Linked DNA regions of Astyanax mexicanus. The protein of the gene in region 1 purifies or fractionates together with the protein of each later gene. This does not show direct contact. Links are inferred from orthologs where the notes say so. Each region holds a gene or a part of one and is shown in the gene's direction. Other genes may lie near its edges.

Region 1 (3,758 bases):
AGCATTTTATTGGAGAATTAAAATACAAAGCAGACGCGCACACACAATGTATTCTAATTATATATATATAGGTAAGATAAGATAAGATAATAAGATGAGATAAGATAATCCTTTATTAATCCCACAATGGGGAAATTTGCAATGTTACAGCAGCACAGAGGAAAGGACATAGACACAGGTCAGGAATATATATGTAAACAAATAATAATAAACTGTATATACAAAATGTTACAGAAAAAATAAAAAATACTACAAATATAATAAAGGAAAAAATATATACATCTAGTGCAGCTAAAATAAGGTCAGAGGAGATATGATTTAATGTAAACTGGAGATATATATCCTCCTGACACCCGGACTTTAGCTTGGTGTGCATTTTTAATTTCTTCTATCTATTCAGGAGTACTTAACATGTATAAAAAATATAGAAACGTAACTTACTCTTTGTATAGGAAGCATTTTTTGCAAAAGGACCCAGAAGGACCCAATTAACCTAGTATAACCTAGTTTCAAACTTAAAAATCTATGATATTTTTTACCTGGCTGTAGAAACTTTTGCCTGGGATTCTCGCCATCTTGTTTTTAATCAGTTAAGTATAATGTTGTCATGTGACCCCTAAATAGTACTGGCAGTGTCTCCATATAAGGCTAAAGGGTCAACGTTTGAAAAAAAAAATAAGAATAATGGTGCAGAGAAGCAGGAATGGAATATCCTCATATGTGGACGCTAGGTCTCAAGAGGATATACCAGTTTACATTAGAAAAATATAAAAAATATATATATTATTTCATGTATTTTCTACATTGTAGATTAATAATAAATATATAAAAACGAATGCGAGACACATATATAATTCTGTAGTAAAGAGTAAAAACGTGTTATTCCTCCACATTAATCCCCTGATCTAAACCTGATGAATTGAGATAGTGATTTAATTGGGATGAGCTGGGATGACACACTACATATGCGCCCTAGTGAGTGAGCGAGGGCGGGTATTGGAGCGCGGCCGGGCTGAGCTGAGTTATGGAGCGGAGTGAGCGGCGGCCCGGTGCTGTAGCGGTGCTGTAGCGGAGAACTCACCGACCCTGCTCTCCCAAACTTCCGCGGCTCTGAGAGAGGAACCGGGGGTCACGGGCCCGGTGATAAACATGGCGGAGAACATCGTGAGTAGTCCTTTATTCAGGGTTTAATCTTGTATAACTACTGATCAGATAAACAGCAGAACCGCGGAGTTATCTGAGCTCAGCGCGCAGTGATGAGGCAGCAGAATCTGTAGCTCCGTGCTAACAGGCTAACACTGCGGGCCTGGAAGCGAGCCGGTGCTGCGCCAAATCGTGCCGCCCTACCAAATCGTGCTACCCTAATGAATGTACATTTAGTTATTAACATATTTAGTTAGCTACATTTAAAACTTAAGTTAGAGGACAGTTCAACTAACTTAAAGTCTGATTAGCCTGGGTAAAAAACTTAAATATATGTATAGAAACTGTTTTTAATAGTCTTTTTGTTTAGTTTTAATATATAACAATATCTGACAGATAAAGTAAAATATGAGAAAGATCAATAAAACCAACAATCTAACACACAGACCCCCCCTCCCATATATAGATATATTCATATACATGCATATATACATACATACATACACGCATACATCTTAGTTATTAAATGTTATTAAACATTTCGTCTAATAGTTTTTGTCCAATACAGTGCAATTTTTTTTGCATTTGCAAACATAAGGTCAAAAAAGTCATCTCAATCTTAAAGTAATTATGATTTTTCCTATATATACCTAATAAGAACAACTTAGGATCTAATGTAAGAGATTTTGGTATAATCAGGTCACTTGCGTTTCTTATATCTTCTCAAAAATCTTACATTTTTGTGTTTTTTTATTAATTGTTTATTATTACTGTGACTTTATAAACGAAAGAACGAAAGATTTATTATTAAAAACACAGTAAAACCTTTAAACAAAAATAACGTGGATCAGCGCATGCGCAGTGCCGGTAGCACGCACATACTGATGGGTAGCACAATTCGACATAACACCTAGACTCAGAGAGGGGTAAACTGAGTAACTAACGCTAGCTAACGTTAGCTAAACAGTGAGTGAAGCTGTGGCTAGCTAAGTAAATAACTGAGGGAATCACACACATATTTAACACGAGATAATCATATAAATGTGATAGATTAAAGGTGATGGGTCGTGGTGTGCTGAATAAAGTTGGCAGGTTGTGGAAAATTCCGCCTGACAAAGAGAAACTTCCAGATCTACTGTAGCTACAGAAACTAAACTAACTACAGTACTGATGATTTACTGCATTATCTCAGTGTATTTAACTCATTTAAATAAAAAGCACCCCACAATATATATCTAATATAACCTGTTATCTAGCTACAATATATATCTGAATATTTATTTACAGGTTGTCTGTTTAAGCTAGCTAAGCTAGTTTTGTCCATTTGTTAGCTAACATAACTCTGACACAACACCACTTACAACTAACTAGCTACTGTTACTGATTACTACTGTTACTGTTACTACTAGCTACTGTTACTGATTAATAAGGCTTTTTATCTATTTACCTATTTATAAAGCGTAATAATCGTCTAATATAATCCTTTCAACCATGTAAATTAATCACAAAAGCTCCTATAAAAGGCTGACACAGAGAGAGTCAGATCTGAACTAAAGTACTGTTTATTTACTGCAGTTATTCAGCATATTTAGCTATTTTAGATACAAATCACCACAGTGTATATTTAATATAATCTGTCATCTGCACATATGCCTGAATGTGTTTTTACAGACAGTCTGCTTCAGCTAGTTAACTAGTCAATTTATTGGCTAGTATAACTCTGACACAGCGTTTACAGTTTTTAGTTAACTAGCTTCTGTTACTGTATAATAAATTTAGTTATCTATTTAGCCATTTATAAAGCTTAAAATCATCTAATAAAGCCATTTCAACAATATATATTATTTGCAAAAAAACACTTATTAAGGCTGACACTCAGAGAGAGTTAGATCTGAACTGCAGTACTGTTTATTTACTGCATTAATTCAGAATTTCTTTAGATACAGACATACTTGTAGTAACTACATCTCTCTGAATATTCACTTACAGGCTGTCTGTTTTAGCTAAGCCAGTTTTAGTTTTAGCTCTTTTAGCTATGCCAGTTTAGTCCATTTGTTAGCTAGCATAAGTCTGACACAACACTAGTTACAATTACATGTGCAGGTAATAAAACTGATTAATAAAGATATTTATCTATTTGTAAAGCTTAATAATCATCTAATAAAACAATGTAAATTCTTCACAAAAAGCTCTTATTAAAGGCTGACCGTGAGAGAGTGCCATATCTAAACTACAGTACTTTTTATTTACTGCATTAATTTAGCTTATTTAGGGTGAATTAAAACTTCTTTAAATACAGGCATACATCTATCTAACTACAAAATCTCTCTGAATTTTCAGTTACAGTATGCCTGTTTTAGCCATCTAGCTTAGCTAAGCTAGTTTAGTCCATTTGTTAGATAGCCTACACCTGACATGACTAACCTAGAATTAGCTTAGCATAGCTAACCTGTGTTGACATCAGTTACAGTTAACTATTACTGTATAATACATAACTTATATATTATTTATCTAGATAACTATTTTGCCTTTTAAATGTTCTAATATAGCTACAGCCTCTAAATAACCTACAGTAACTTACTGCTTATTAATTGCATCTATTTAGCATGTTTAAC
Region 2 (3,758 bases), on another chromosome or scaffold:
TAATTATTTACATATATACATAAACACATATACAGCTAAGAAAGTCATGTTATATTTATCTGTATAATTTATATACAGTCAATTTTTGATTAGGTAAGTTTTCAGAGCTGCTGTGTATTTAATATACAGTATATTTGTGATTAAGTGATTCTCAGAGCTGCTATGTAGTTAATATACAGTATATTTGTAATTAAGTGAGTCCTCAGAGCTGCTGTATAGTTAATATACAGTATATGTGTGATTATTTGAGTTCTCAGAGCTGCGGTATAATTAATATACAGTATATCTGTGATTAAGTGATTATCAGAGCTGCTGTATAATTAATATACAGTATATGTGTGATTAAATGAGTTCTCAGAGCTGCTGTGTAATTAATATACATTATATTTGTAATTAAGTGAGTTCTCAGAATTTTTGTATCATTGATATACAGTATATGTGTGATTAGGTGAGTTTTCAGAGCTGCTGTATAATTAATATACAGTATATATGTGATTAAGTGAGTTCTCAGAGCTGCTGTGTAATTAATATACGTTGTATGTGTGATTAAGTGAGTTCTCAGAGCTGCTGTGTAATTAATATACGTTGTATGTGTGATTAAGTGAGTTCTCAGAGCTGCTGTATAATTAATATACAGTATATTTGTGATTAAGTGAGATTTTAGAGCTGCTGTGTAATTAATATACAGTATGTGTGATTAAGTGAGTTCTCAGAGCTGCTGTATAATTAATATACAGTATATTTGTGATTAAGTGAGATTTTAGAGCTGCTGTATAATTAATATACAGTATATTTGTGATTAAGTGAGTTCTCAGAGCTGCTGTATAATTAATTTACAGTATATTTGTGATTAAGTGAGATTTTAGAGCTGCTGTGTTTGAAGGATGAGGGTGTCTCAGCTCTGCTTCACATAAAGTTGCTTCAAACAAACACGGTGACGTCACTCTGCAATGGCAGCCAGCAGTACTGCAGTGTCAGTTCTGAGCCCGAACGGACGGAGACAGACCGTTAAAGTCTCCCCAAACACACCTTTACTGCAGGTAAAGAGCTCAGAGAAAGGCTCGGTTTATAAACACCGCGGTGCTGGCCTGTGTTCAGAGAGAAGGGCGCTGTTTATGGCTGTCTATCTGAACAATGGCTGCTCAGTTAGCCTAGCCTAGCTTAGCTGCTAGCTAACCTAACGTTAGCTGAGCGCTGAGAGAGAGAACTGTCTCTGAAACAGATGGAAAAGAGGGAAAACTGATTAATTCTTGTTTATTTTACCTCTGCAGGTCCTGGAGGAAGTCTGTAAGAAACAGGGATTCAATCCAGACGACCATGGACTCAAGTGAGTGCTTTAAAATGCTACATAAATGCTAATAAATGCTTAGGTGAGCTACTTAGCTATTTAGTTACATTTTCCCTCTATGGCATGAGTTAAAATATTTTTAGGAGTCCCTGTGGATATAACCGATATCAATTTCTGTTTTGACTTTTGAAAACAACCTGGTAATTTCAATCAGTTCATGTTTTAAAGCAAAGAAGAACATGAGTGTTGTAACCCAGCTGTAACCTGATTAACACTGCCCAAAGGCAGCAAATGAAAATACACTGTTTTAGTAAGTTTCCAACAAGCATATCATAAAAATAAAACCAGCCAAATATACTTCTTTACTTATTCTTGCACATATACATATTTTTATTTATGACCCACTTGTATGTGTCATTGTAATGGGCATATAATATTATGTTATATATACATTATTATATTATATATAAACATAAAAAATACATAAAAAGAAGGTTCAATATGGTATAATCCAATAATCAGAAAAATGTTTCAGTTGGAGTCTTCTAGGTTAGCTAGCTTAGTAAACTGGGGTTACTGTAGTTATTGTACGGAATATTCCTAACATTTTTATAATTGTAACAAGGAACAGGGCAGTCAAAGTAAAAGTAATAAACTAGAACATTAAAAATATGTAGTAAAGTAGGAGAGTGCAAGTAGGAGTACAATAGTATCCAAGTAGAGTAGTACAGATATAGCATTCTAGCACTTTCAAGTACAGTAGTGAAGTAGTTGTACTTTGTTGCTATGCTTTTATAATACCAAAAATGGTACCAAAGTCTCATGAGAGAGTTCCTTGGGAGAGATTGATTTACTCAATGTGGTCTTGATTTAACTTTGCCTGCTTCAAGACTCTGTCTTTAACTCCAGTTCTACAGCGCATAAACAGAGTATCTGTCTTGACTTGGATAAAGCTGCTCTTGGTATTTGTCTTGGACCCTAACATGGTCTTCTTGACTGCTACAAAAGTCTTGGTCTTGACTCCAACTCAGTGTGCTCCAATCGTGGTCATGACTTGGACTCGGTATGTCACATTCTTGGTCTTAACTTGGTCTTGACTGCTTTAATGTCTTGATCTTAGCTCTGTCTCAGTCTTAGCTTTGACACAGTATTAACTACTACAATGTCATATTTGTTCTGTCCAAGTGTCAAAGACTTGCTGAGTCTCAGTCTAGATATTGGCACAGTGTTATACACTACAGATTCTTGGATTCTTTTGACTCTAAACATACTCTCTGTTTATACTTAGACTTGTTCATTACAAAAACTTTGTTGTGAATAAAACTCAATATTGCGTTATCTCTTTTTTTTTTTGATCTATTGAATAGTCCCACATGACTATTGAAAATTGCAAAATCCTAGTCTTAACCTGGATTTGTTTATCACAAATTTGTGGTCTTAAATTAAATGTTTCCTGTTGTTAGTTTTAATCTGACTTGAGTGATACACAGTCTTGGTCTTTACTTGGACTCAGCTACTAGTCTTGCTCTTGATTCATGGTTGATGTGTTCCAACTTGGCTCTAATGGCCTTAAATACAACAGTGTAAGCTGGACCACAATTTAAAGAATTAGAGATGTTATAATTTTTTGTTTGTGGCTATATGTATATGACTGTATTACATGTGAATACACTGAACAAACAGCCGCATAAAAAGTTTAGTACAGTGTGTCTAGTATTTGATATATAAAGAGGGTTAAATCAATGCCAGGTCAACACAGTCTCCCTCAGCTGCTGCCTGTATAGCCATTGTAAGCCAGCCTCTGGACACAGTCATGTGTAAAGGTGCTTCCAACACCTGTTTGAATTGAATGGTTGTGTTTGTGATGGTCAGTGAGTCACACGTCATGAAGCTGCAGAGGTTATCTGCTGCTGGTGTCTGTCCTTTGTGCTTAGAGTGCTTTGTGTTCTCCCCCTAACTCTGTGTGACTCTTTTATCCGCAGGTTTCAGAGGAATGTGCTGGATCTGACACTGCAGTGGAGGTTTGCCAGCCTGCCAAATAATGCCAAGCTGGAGGTGGTGCCAAGTACCCGGCAGCTGGGAGGGACAGAGAGCACGGTGGGTTATTAGATCAGTGTTGATTGCCAATGTGAGTTATTTGGCTGGAGTATAGGGACAATCATGGATTTGGAAGCAACAAAGATGTAACATTATCACTGACAACCTTTTTCTGATATCTGTCACAAGTGATCTGATCACAAGTGGAGAGCAACATGCATCTTTAGTGACCACTTGTGATTAGAAGATATCTTTCATGACACTGTCGCTATTGAAATGAAATGAAATGAAATGCTGCAGGTATAAATATAAAATTTATATTCTCTATCATTAAATATTGTATAGATTTAAATGTGGTTTACTTATGCTTATCAGACTTTACAATTCCCTGTGCCTTTTATACACAATAGAATTAATTGTGAAACGTGTTTTA

Evidence for each region.
Region 2: the proteins of nploc4 (region 1) and aspscr1 purify together in Homo sapiens (affinity purification with mass spectrometry; 3 studies listed by BioGRID and IntAct, with this or other methods). This does not show direct contact. The link is inferred for Astyanax mexicanus from reciprocal best matches to the Homo sapiens genes NPLOC4 and ASPSCR1.

The regions. Positions count from the first base shown.
Region 1 is NC_064422.1:46,559,306-46,563,063, forward strand, and holds the start of nploc4 (nuclear protein localization protein 4 homolog), read left to right. Parts: upstream 1-1,022; 5' UTR 1,023-1,149; coding exon 1,150-1,164; intron 1,165-3,758. UniProt on the Homo sapiens protein: The ternary complex containing UFD1, VCP and NPLOC4 binds ubiquitinated proteins and is necessary for the export of misfolded proteins from the ER to the cytoplasm, where they are degraded by the proteasome.
Region 2 is NC_064423.1:30,503,396-30,507,153, forward strand, and holds the start of aspscr1 (tether containing UBX domain for GLUT4), read left to right. Parts: upstream 1-910; 5' UTR 911-950; coding exon 951-1,040; intron 1,041-1,271; coding exon 1,272-1,327; intron 1,328-3,270; coding exon 3,271-3,385; intron 3,386-3,758. UniProt on the Homo sapiens protein: Tethering protein that sequesters GLUT4-containing vesicles in the cytoplasm in the absence of insulin. Modulates the amount of GLUT4 that is available at the cell surface. Enhances VCP methylation catalyzed by VCPKMT.